Linked DNA regions of Neurospora crassa OR74A. The protein of the gene in region 1 binds, or shares a complex with, the protein of each later gene. Links are inferred from orthologs where the notes say so. Each region holds a gene or a part of one and is shown on either strand. Other genes may lie near its edges.

What was found. Proteins that work in one complex are often made in the same cells at the same time.
Region 2: NCU02757 (region 1) and NCU05714 share a complex: the UniProt entries of both Schizosaccharomyces pombe proteins name them as parts of the mitochondrial large ribosomal subunit. The link is inferred for Neurospora crassa OR74A from reciprocal best matches to the Schizosaccharomyces pombe genes rml2 and mrpl10.

Annotation. Positions count from the first base shown.
Region 1 is NC_026501.1:3,453,556-3,461,621, forward strand, and holds NCU02757 (mitochondrial 54S ribosomal protein RML2), read right to left. Parts: upstream 4,393-8,066; 5' UTR 4,009-4,392; coding exon 3,036-4,008; intron 2,974-3,035; coding exon 2,900-2,973; intron 2,836-2,899; coding exon 2,731-2,835; 3' UTR 2,362-2,730; downstream 1-2,361. Other genes in the region: NCU02755 (PAP2 domain-containing protein), read right to left, coding at 1-122, 207-487; NCU02758 (G2/mitotic-specific cyclin-B), read left to right, coding at 5,780-5,791, 5,888-7,171, 7,238-7,376, 7,433-7,545; NCU16375 (hypothetical protein), read left to right, coding at 7,978-8,066. UniProt on the Schizosaccharomyces pombe protein: Component of the mitochondrial ribosome (mitoribosome), a dedicated translation machinery responsible for the synthesis of mitochondrial genome-encoded proteins, including at least some of the essential transmembrane subunits of the mitochondrial respiratory chain.
Region 2 is NC_026503.1:604,512-608,065, reverse strand, and holds NCU05714 (mitochondrial 54S ribosomal protein YmL10/YmL18), read right to left. Parts: upstream 2,329-3,554; 5' UTR 2,204-2,328; coding exon 1,863-2,203; intron 1,738-1,862; coding exon 1,140-1,737; 3' UTR 501-1,139; downstream 1-500. UniProt on the Schizosaccharomyces pombe protein: Component of the mitochondrial ribosome (mitoribosome), a dedicated translation machinery responsible for the synthesis of mitochondrial genome-encoded proteins, including at least some of the essential transmembrane subunits of the mitochondrial respiratory chain.

The sequences.
Region 1 (8,066 bases):
GAGGTACGGTAGCGCCAGGGACGAATATCAGCGAGATGACGGCAATGAAGAAGATGGGGGCGATCACGCTGATGCATGTTGCCAGCCAGACGGGCACAGTTTCCTTTACTGTAAAGGGGAATCTGGAGAGTTTGTACCTCTTAGCATCACATCCATTGAATGGATCAAGCAGAAACTGTCAGGAAAAACTGTTTGATTTCACATACGAGATATTGGGATCGTAAAGTGAGAAAGGTCTCTTGTTTGGGGTTTTAGCCCCAAAAATATAGCCAATGACTCCGGCAACAGCAATAATGACCCAGTCAAAGACATACGAGACTACCACCACCCATCCTCCTCTCTTCCTCTTTAGCCCACCAGCTCGGGTGTGCCTGAGATTGTCCATCATCAGCGTCGTCGAAGTTGGTGGTGTATAGCCGGTATGCGATGGTGAAATCGAGCGAGCATGTGCTGGAGGGATGAGGAGGTCTTCTGAATCGTCGGGCATGAGGACCTAAGGAGAATCCGAGGGGTGGTCGGATGGGAGAGAGAACCTCGAGCAAAAAAGGGACGGCAAGATGAGAGATCGGAAGCGCAAGTTTGGGTCAGATTGCGTCCAGTCCGTTTAGCAGTCCGCCTGGTCGCGTTTGCCAGCCGGAAAGAGTAGCGTGGGTAGGTAATAGGAGGATGTTTCAATAGGCGCAAGCCGCAGCTGAATGTAAGGGTGAAGCGACAAGAGGTGTGACCAGGCTAATACAAACCTATGGGCTGCAGTGGTTGGGAACCGAGATGATATTTTGGGGAAACTAAGTACTAGTACCTAGCCTACAACCTAGCCGGACTAGCACAAAGATGTCGTGACGGGAGTACGCAGTATGTACGTGAAGCCGGAGACCTGGCGCGTGCATGTAATGAGTGTGCAGAGCACGGCAGAGGTTGAACAGTTCATTCTTGTATCGAACCTGTCGGTCTGACAGAAAATGAGTTTCACCCAGCGATCAGCGTCCACGATTTCCTACCCAAGACGTCTAAGCCTCTTTCTAAGACCGCACGTGTAACGCTAACATAGATTCCCCATGCCTGTTTCTGCACTAGGTACACTACATACATTTTTGCTTGGTCCCCGCAGTCCGCACTCCTCCCATCTGCTTGAAGTCAGTTGACAGGTCGACAATAAGTACTCCCAGCGGCGATGCAGTGAGTCCCGTAACGGCGGCTCAGAAAGAATGAGAACAGTTATAACCAAGTTTAAATGAAGCGAAGAGAAGAAAACCAATGTGAAAACGAGATTATCGAGGGTGAACGAGTTATTCGGTCAAGAGCGGATGGGAAACAAGAGAATGGCAGCTTCCTCGGTGGCATGCCGGTTGAGGTTACAACCGAAACCAACGATCTTGTAACAACCTGGAAATCTAGATCATTCAGGGGGGTGGTTTAGGCAGTGGCCCCTAGCCAAGTGGAACCCCAGTCCCGCGTACCTCTAACGCTACCCGACATGGATGAGGTATGTATGGGGGCAACCATAGGTACCTACCTACTCCCCAGCTTTTCCATGTTAGTGCATCTTAACTCATTTAGTGTAGGGTGAGAAGCACCGCAGAGAAGTACGATGTACCCTAGGTACCTAGGTATATATTTATTGTGCCGACCTGTCGGGGTCGTGAGGTACCAGACATGGTGGCGCACTCAGTTTTCCTTACTAGTTAATGTACAACTACCGATTCCATCGATCCCATTCAATCTCCAGAAGTACAAAGGGGACTGCCCTGAACGAGCGAAACGTTGTGAAATAGTATGTACACTAAAAGAATGGCGTAAACCTTAAACTCTGCCCAAACCACCGAAGAGACGCTTCAAATAGTGTACTCATCACCCCCGTTGATCTTGTGGTATACCTCTATGGAGATGAGACTATGCTTGCCTTTTGTCGACCCTCGTTCCTTCATGGCGTTGTATGTATGGCCGAATTGCGGGCGCATACCGAGACGCTGTCGTGATATGCCCTTACACAGTCAACCACTGTAAAGATACCACCGCTGGAATGCATATAAATCTCGCTGCGCTCAGGTCTACCCACGCGGCTATTTACGCCCCTATTTTTTTTTTTTTTTCAGGATGGCGTTCACAGAACCGGTAGCAGATCTGAAAGGGCGAAGGGGGACGGCATTGTTATTCTGCTCCTTGCAGAAGAGATGAACGCAAAATGTGATTGGACAACTCGACCGACTCCAATGACCAAACGCCTTCAGTTTCTTTCATTGTAGTCTGTTGTCTATAATCAACGCAAAAAAAAAAAAAAAAAAAAAAAAAAAAAAAAAAAAAAAAAAAAAAAAAAGGGAAAAAAAAATTTTTTAATTTTTTTAGGAAAATTAAACAAATTTTATAAGTAAATAAATCAATAAAAAATTTGTTAAGTTGGGGTCGGTATATGACAACGGAGTCTAACAAACCCCATGTGTAGTCTTTGGTACATTCCTGAAGTCGTATGCCGATTTATAGGCACAGTCACGGCCTTGGCCGGGCCCTGAACCACATCGCCGTAGAGTTGCTCAGTTGAAAGTGGAAAACAAAGACAAACACGGCAGATCTCCAACAGACGATGTTATTGGGCCCAATACCCACACATGGCATCCTTCCGGTGATATACTGAGCCCTCGAACTGCCGGCCTGCGAGCAAATGAATAAGTTTCACTACATATTGTACAAGATGGTGGGTATATAGCCCAAGTTGAGCACAGTGGGTTATTTTATTCATGTAGTCTTCTTGTTCCTCCGGACTCCCATGTTGCGGACCCGGGGGGTAACCACCCACTTGTTGACGTTGGACTTTCTGCGAGTCTTGTAACCACCTTTGGCCTACAGAAAAAGAGGGTAAGGCGTCTGTTCAGAGGAAGGAAGGAAATAAAGGGGCATGACTTACAGGTGTACCCCAAGGAGAAACAGGGTGCCTATTACCCTTCGACTTACCACGACCACCACCGTGAGGATGGTCATCTACCAGGCCGTTAGTTGGTTTTGCTCGCTTGACAAACGGATTGTTCTGGGAGTCTACTCACTTGCGTTCATCGCCAAACCTCTCACAGTAGGCCTAATGTTGAGCCAACGGCTTCTACCGGCCTTGCCCAGTTGTCTGTAGTGATGCATAATGTTGCTGGCAATACCAACGGTGGCGCAAGCGTCCTTGCTGACCCTTCTGATTTCTCCGCTCTGCAGTCTTACGTTGACGAACTTGCCCGTCATAACCTTTGTACCATCCTCACGGGTCTCCTCCTCTTTGGAAATAATGGTTGCATATGTTCCGGCACTGCGGCAGAAAACAGCCTTGCCATCCGGACGGGAGCCAACGCAATAGATCTGGGTTCCAACCGGAATCATGGACACAGGCAAGCAGTTGCCTCTCCAGCATGTCCTCGCAGCCAGAATACCAGGATCAACGACACCACCCATAGAATCGAGCAGGTCCTGGGGAAGACCGGACCGGTAGCTCTGCACAACGTCTCCAGCCCTCATACCATCCGCCGCAACAATATAGCTCTTCCTCCCTGTGGCCTCTTCCTTCACCAGCGCAATGTGCGCGCTGCGACCGGGATCGTACTCAATGCGCAGGACTGTGTGCGGACCGGGGATCCATCGTTCAAAGTCGACCATGCGGATTCTTCGCTTGTGACCACCACCGCGATGTCTGACGGTGACGCGACCACTGTGATTACGGCCACCCTTAGATTGACCCTTCTTGGGAAAGGTAAGAGGAAGATACGGCCGGCCCTTCCACAGGTGGTCGTTGATCGGGCGCTTCAAGTGACGGATACCGGGCGTGTGCGGCTTGTAGGTTCTCATCATGCCGGCGTCCCGGACGTAGGGAGTGACGATCTTGGCTTTGGCATCTTTGCTGGTGTTGCTGGTGCTGGTGCTGCTTGCTGATTGTGTGGCGGCCTTGGTGGCATAGCATCTGGCGACGGTGCGGCCCAGCACGGTTTGGGCAAAGGAAGCTGTCCCCGCAAGGAGGGGTCGGAATTGAGGCTGCAGCATGGCTGCTCGATCGCTGTCGGATATCCCAAGCTCCTGGCGGTGAGCTCTGGGGAGGTGAGGGTGCTGGAGGGGACAGTTGCTGCGATTTCCAGCAACCGGAATGCGACGTCCTCGCAGGCTGCTCGTCGAGGTTCTCGTCGCCGGCTTGTCGTCGATAACTGCTTGTGGAAAATTGCTCGGCTGATGCGCCAATCACAGCCGTGCATTGGTTTGCGATCCCTGACGATTGTGGCTGCTAATAGTGTGGCTTGTGTGGTGCAGCCACTGCCCTTTGGTGAAGAGCCTTGTTTCTTTCCAGGGGACAAGTGCTGCAAACAGCGCTCCAAAACGCGGGCGCGGGAGGAAGGCACCAAGTCATCACCGCGTGAAGGTGCAGTGCGGCGCGGGGAAAGAGCGTGCATCGTGCTCCATTCCTGCCCGCCCAAGGTTCCAGTCGCGTCTGACCCAGGATAGGTAAGGTACCTTAGTGTTGACAGCTGCTGGACACGCGCAGCCTGTTGGACAGTTTAAACCAATCAGAAGCTGATTTGACCGAATTGCCCTGCGGTTGCCAGTGTTGCCCTGACGGCGGGCGGATGACAGCAAGGGAGGGACGTGGCCTGTGGTGGCCTTGCCGCCTTCAGTTCCTTCACTGCGTGTTTGAGGTGCGACCCTTCTTTGTCCCTTCTGCTTGCAGTGCTCCATAACAGCGCCCGGCCCAAGTACAATTTCCTGGCCGCTTTCTCGACTCCGGATTCTGCAACTCGACACTCACCATCCGACTAACAACCATTTCCCTGGACGCACGACAATCGACTTTCAGCTACAGCAACAACAGCAACTTTCGACTCCGGCCATTGAAGCCTGCATTTCTTCGGCAGTACAACCTTTTCGACTTGCTTATTCGACAACGGCATCCTCATCATTCGACAACTTAGCAAGGCAGGGAACAGCAAGACGTGCGTCTGACAGAAGCCCATATTGCACGGCGCGTCATCACTTGTTGTGGTAATTTTGTTCCCTTTCCGGTGTCTTGGACTTCAAAGCTTCAAAGCCTCGCTGCACTAGTGACCTCGAAGGGCACTAGAGGTACTTTGCCCCAGTCCCAGCACGTCCGATCCGGTACCTGGGTGGGTGTCCACACGCCCGCTCCGTCCACTGGCACTCCAGCCCCATCCACTGGGCTGCACTGGCACTGGCACCTCCACCAAGACCTCGCAAAAACAAGACTCCCATTCTTCTCTGCCTCGTAAACATCATACCTCCCTTTCCCGTCCGCCAACTAGCATTCCCACTCCGCATCACCTGGACTCGCAAGGCCTTGCCATCACGACGGCAACCCTTGGCCTCGATCAGTCAATCTTTCCGGACGTCGCCATTGCGTGCTTTGCCCCGACCGTCGTCACCAATTGGGCAACATTCCCGATCAACAACAGCACATCCTTCACGGTCTCAGCCAACCTTCTGTTGCGGGACCCAGGGTTGATCTCCGGCTTCAACAACGTGCCGACAGCGACATCACTGCCGACCGCCGGTGTTCATTCTTCCCGACATCTTTGGGCTCTGTAGTCGGTGCGTCTAGTCTCATTGACTGTCCGTGTTCACAATTCCCTCGTCGTTCGCTCGTCGTTCGCGTCAACCCTCCCTCCGTGACAGGGATCGGTCTTTCAATAAGAACCAGTCTCTCCACCTCGAACTTCGCCAAAAACGAAACATCCAAATAGCTAGCTGACCTCCCCGTCAGTAGACACATTTCACATCAATTTCTGTGCCAGCATAGGTTTAGGCGAGAATGCCGAATCTTGTAAGTTTTACTGCACAGTTGGCATTGTCGTTCAATCATGCAATTGGTTGTCCACAGCCATGCTATGTTTGTACTAACTCAACCCCAACCCTGCAGCGGACGAGGAACCCGCGTTCACTCGCGAACGAAAATGACGAGAACAGTACAGCAACCACGACACGTATGACGAGGGCCAAGGCGGCCACTCTCCATGTCGACGAATTGTCCATGCCCGCGAAAACCATGCAGACCAAAAAGACGACGATTTCGACAACCACCGCCGCCACTGCCGCTCGCACTGTCGGTAAGCGGAATGCACTGGGCGACGTCAGCAATGTCACCAAGGTTGAAGTTGCGGGAACGAAGAAAGCGATTGCGAAGCCCGGCCTAGTTTCGAAGGCGGCCCAGCCGAGTGGCATCCAGAAGAAGACCACAACTGCTACGAGCCGTACTGCGACTACTGCCCGCCGTGCGTTATCCAACAAAGAGCCCAACAAGACGGTCGGCCCCAGTGCTGGTGCTGGCACCATTCCCGCCAAGCGCAAGCCTCCTCCGTCCACATCCAAGCTCGCCCCTATCAAGGAATCAGCACCTGTTGAAAATGAACCGGCCCGCAAGAAGATCCACGTCGAAGAGCCCGAGAAGAAGAAGGTTTCCAGGACTGAGGCCAAGGAGAACGATGCTCCCTCCAAGGCTGTGAAGCCGATGGCCGAGCCCCCCGCTCCCGTCGTCCGCGATGTCGTCCCTGTTCAGTCAGTGTATCCGCCAGGTGTTAAGGACCTTGACACTGAAGACCTCGAGGATCCTCTTATGGTTGCCGAGTATGCGACGGAAATTTTCGAGTACCTCCGCGACCTCGAGTGCAAATCAGTGCCGAACCCTCAGTACATGAGCCACCAGGACGACCTCGAGTGGAAGACTCGTGGCATTCTCATCGACTGGCTCATTGAAGTTCATACTCGGTTTCATCTGCTGCCCGAGACGCTGTTCCTTGCCGTTAACATCATCGATCGTTTTTTGAGCGAAAAGGTCGTCCAGCTCGATCGTCTTCAGCTCGTGGGTATCACTGCAATGTTTGTTGCCTCCAAGTACGAGGAGGTCCTCTCCCCCCATATTGCCAACTTTCGCCACGTTGCAGATGACGGCTTTACTGAAGCTGAGATCCTCAGTGCTGAGCGTTTCATTCTATCGACCCTCAACTACGACCTTAGCTACCCCAACCCTATGAACTTTCTCCGCCGCATCTCCAAGGCAGACAACTACGATATTCAATCCCGTACCCTTGGCAAGTACCTGATGGAGATCAGCTTGCTGGACCATCGCTTCATGCCTTACCGTCCCAGCCATGTCGCTGCTGCTGCTATGTACTTGGCACGATTGATCCTTGGCCGCGGAGAATGGGTAAGTTATACAGATGGATTTATAATACTCGCCATATCATCCTGTGGCTAATACTCATAATAACAGGACAAGACTATCGCCTACTATGCTGGCTATACCGAGGAGGAGATCGAGCCTGTATTCCATCTCATGGTTGACTATCTGGCCCGTCCCGTTATTCATGAAGCATTCTTCAAGAAGTATGGCAGCAAGAAGTTCCTCAAAGGTATGTCAAACAACCGGCCTTGCTTGTCTCGTAATCTTATTCTGACATCTTCTCAGCCTCCATCCTTACTCGGCAGTGGGCCAAGAAGAACGCTGTTCTCTATGGCGTTGTTGACGCCGAGATCCCACTTGACAAGCTCAAGGACCGCCCCGTTGACCAGCTGCCTTAAGCTTGTTTGGGTGCAGCTGCGTTCACGGGCTAGCATTTGGGTTCTGGCCCATACAATGTTCTCAAAAGAGGCTACGATGCGGTTGGATCTCGCTAGCGCTTGACGACATATCATGAAGTTATAGATGACGGTATGCCTTTTGTCTCTGAACCCAATGGAGACCGCGTTCGTCCAATTTTCCTATTCTCTCTCTCAAAAAAAAAAGCATCCTATTACCTGCTTGATGCACAGGGAACCGGCTCTAGGAAACACGGCGAGGGTTAATCACCTGGTCCGCGCCGACGGGCTGGCTTTTGTTTTTCCTTCATCTTTCCGGCATGGCAGGTTTTTGTTTTGCACTGCTCCTTATTTACACGCTCAAACTTTTCTTTGCGGTGGCGCCAGGTGTCAAGGGAAATCAGGGAGAGAGGCGTAGAGGTATCTCTTTATTTCATGTTCCTCCGTGCAGAGGGCCTCAAAGGTATGGTTAGGTTGCGGTTTCTCATTGTTTACCCCCCCCCACGGTTCGGCACGGAATTTAT
Region 2 (3,554 bases), on another chromosome or scaffold:
AGCCAGAAGAAGAAGAAGAAGAAAAAGAAGAAAATGAAACACAGAAATGAAGAAAAAAGTTGAAGCAGGTCGTGATGTTGACAACGACAAAGTTTGGTCTCTCCCGCTCGAGGAAAGAAAAGTCAAGATGCATCAATGATGACGCCGCGGCGGGCAGAGTGGGTGGAGGGCACGCGCCGACTCCAAAGCTGACACAATCCCGTTCGGGAGGGCTGCATACAGTGGCTTCAGTGGACGGTTCCCGCTGTGGAAGCTGGGCATGGTGATTAGGGGCATTAGACTGGTCCGTGCATACTCCACTTTCTTTAAGCCGAAGGTATCGAAAGTCACCCGTGTAATTACCGTAATTACAAGACATATGGTCGGCATATGGTTGACATATGTCAATATTAACGATTCACATTCACATGCGGGGGCCTCTCACCGGCCCCCTGCACCCCCGGAGCTAACCCTAACCCTAACTAACCCTAACTAACCCTAACTAACCCTAACACTAATTGGTAATTTGCAGAGAAGTCGGGTATTGACGGCTGTTTTCGGACGTAATTACAAGCTGGTATGGAGAAGGTACCAAAAGCGACCTGGCACGTGATCAGACCCATATTTTCTAATGCCCCCATTCACCGTCCCCGTGGAAGCTGCCCTGGAAGGAATGGCCGGGGACCGCCCAGGACCGGGACTTGACCGGGGTCAGCTTGCGGGATTGACATGTCACTGGCCAATGGCTGTTCTTCCGACTGCCAGGTACGGGACAGCAAGTCTTCGAGATCCGTCGTTTGGACCATGTCAACACGCAGCCAAGTGATATTTACTTTATAAAGCCCATCTTCGAACTACGATGGATCGCAAAAGCAGGAACACGTCAATCAAGGGAGTTTCATGATTCACCTGCGTTGTCAGCAAGTGGAGTGCTGGCCGCATGTGGGAATCCACTCCCGTAGGTGAGACCTGTATGATGTACAAGGACCCAAATAGAACTGATCCGAGGAGCAAGACGCTGGACTGACAATACGCGGATGATAATAATACAACACAAAGCACAGAGCCATGAACGGGCCCAGTACCTATCATACAACAACGAGGAAGAGCGCAACAACGAGTCTCGGAAAAACCGCCATCCCAGGCAATGTTCGTGTTCATTAGAAGAGCTTCTCCGACGCCACATCCCCGGTCTTGCTGGCCTTGACCTTGTCGGCCCTGACCACCTTGACCTTCTCGCCGCCCGTCGGTACCTTGAAGTACAAACTGGGCGACTCGCCAGGCGCAAGCTGGTGGCTGAGGTAGCCCCTATGCGCCGGGTCTCTGTAGTACTCAATATCCCAACGGCTGGTCGGGTCCGGCAGGCGGTAGTACTTCTTCTTGAGCGATCGCGCCTGCGCCAGGATCTCCTCCACGTGCTCCTTGCCCACCGGCAGCGGCTTGTCGGTATGAAGAGACTTGCCCTCTACCAGACGCTTGAGCGATTCCTTGGTGTAGAATCGGGTGACGATCTTGCCGCCGGCAGCCTCGATGGCCTCAATGGCGGAGGCGGACGCGCGCGATACGGTGATGGTGACGGGGATCTTGAAGCTCTCCTTGCCGCGGCCGAGAAGCTTGATGCCGTCCTTGATGCTGCTGCCAATGATGCCGGACTTGATGATCTCCTTGGGGGTAATGGGCTTCGTGGGGTCGATACGGCCGGCTTCGATCCATTCCTGAAGCTTTTCGAGGTTAAGCTCGGACATGTCGGCAGCGAACCTATGAAAGACACAAATGGTTAGTCTCCATCATGTATCTGGTAGGTATAGGTTATCGGATAGCATGCTGGAGAGTTCTTGGCCATGGCGCATAGCAAGCGAGGTAGGGAAGTCGGGACGGCATACTGGTTAACGAAACCCTTGCGGCCGTGAGAGACGATCAAGGGCGTCTGACCACCCTGGAACCATGGCTTAACATGACCGTGGGCCTTCTGACCCTTGGTACCGCGACCGGCAGTCTTGCCATAGCCGGACGAAGGACCGCGACCCTTGCGAATGCGCTTGTGGTAGGCGCCCCGGTTGTCGGACAGGCTGGCGAGGATGGATGCGCTCCTGGTCTGGACGGAGAGGGCAGCAAAGAGCGAAATGAGGGACGACGTCGGCGACGAGGCTGGGACCGAAGGGCGGGCTGTGAGGGAGGCCTGGCAGCATCGCGCCGCCTGGGCGAGCGGTAACCTGGGAGGCATGACGGAGGCGGAGGACACGGGAGTGGGTTGGGTCTGGGTCGGGCAGTCTTCCGGATTCCGTTCCTCACGGCAACGGCACTTCCCCGAAAACAAAAGTTCAGGACCCGCGCCCAGCCAAATTCCGACACCTGCGTCGCGGGGGTGGACCGTGCGCCCTCGTTGGTCTCGGTCAATTGCGAATGGGCGGCTGAGTCAGCAGCTGGTCCACATCCGACGTCCTTCGCCAAGGGACCGTGATGCTCCAAAATATCCATGTTCGATATCACTTACACGGGATATGCAAGAACATGTCAAAGGTTCAGTGCGGTGAAAGTCCCTAAGAGTGATTGTACCGCGGCTTAACAGGCTGAAGAACATCTGGTGCGAGTTTAGGGAATTTTTCCACCCAGTCGGAATGATCATAAATTGAGTGTCCCGAGGCCATTGGAGGTGCGTTGAGAAAATATTGTGCAAGTACAACTGTGGGATGCTTAAAGTATTGCCTTTGAGAGCAACGCAAAACAGGCAGCCAAGAGCAGCTCATACTAGAAACCTATTATAGATGGGTCTCAACTGCGACCTACGCTAGAATTACACAGAAGTCCTGAAGTAGGGCGTGTCGAAGGGGGTTCTGTGTCAGCCATGAGCCAATCGAGCTGGTGGGGTTCGGGAGTGTTGAGAATGGCATGAGTGACATACACGCTGGAATTGCCTGAATGTTACTTTGATTTACTGAAGGTGTTTGTATGGCTGATAGAAAGAATGTAATTGTTAAGCCTTCTTTGCTGTCGGATAACGTTTACTGCAGAACAGAGCAAGGGACAGCGTGCAGTCATTTCGCGGGATAAACATAACCGATCGTGATGGAACTTTCCAAGTCAAGCAGAGAAGCGCCGCTCCGAAATGGCTTTTCACTCAAGTCTGTCTGAATTTCAAGCATGGAATGTCAGTCCCAAGCCCAAACCACGCGCCAGGTACCTGCCACCGCTCCTGCCACCGGCAATCGGTCGGCACGCCCTTCACCGACGGGAACATCGGATGACAAGATCCCTTCCCGCCCAGGCCGCAAACCTCTAGTACCCTCTGCTGTAGCCTACAGGTATTATATAAGGTCGGGTTCCCTAACTGATCTCTCTGGCATAACGGAACTCTGTGATCTTTTGGCACAGTGGTTCCCGTTGATGAAAATGTGTGGCTTTTTCGTAGGTCTGCAGTTGGGGTATTGTCGTTCGTTCTACAAACTTACCTGGGCGACCGAGCTTTTTGCTCTTCATGTCAATTGGACAGCCTCTCAGGGCCTCAAAAATGTGGTCTCTCAATATTTGCTTTCTGTCTTGGGGCTGATAAATGGGTTTCTTTGCGAGCGGGAAAG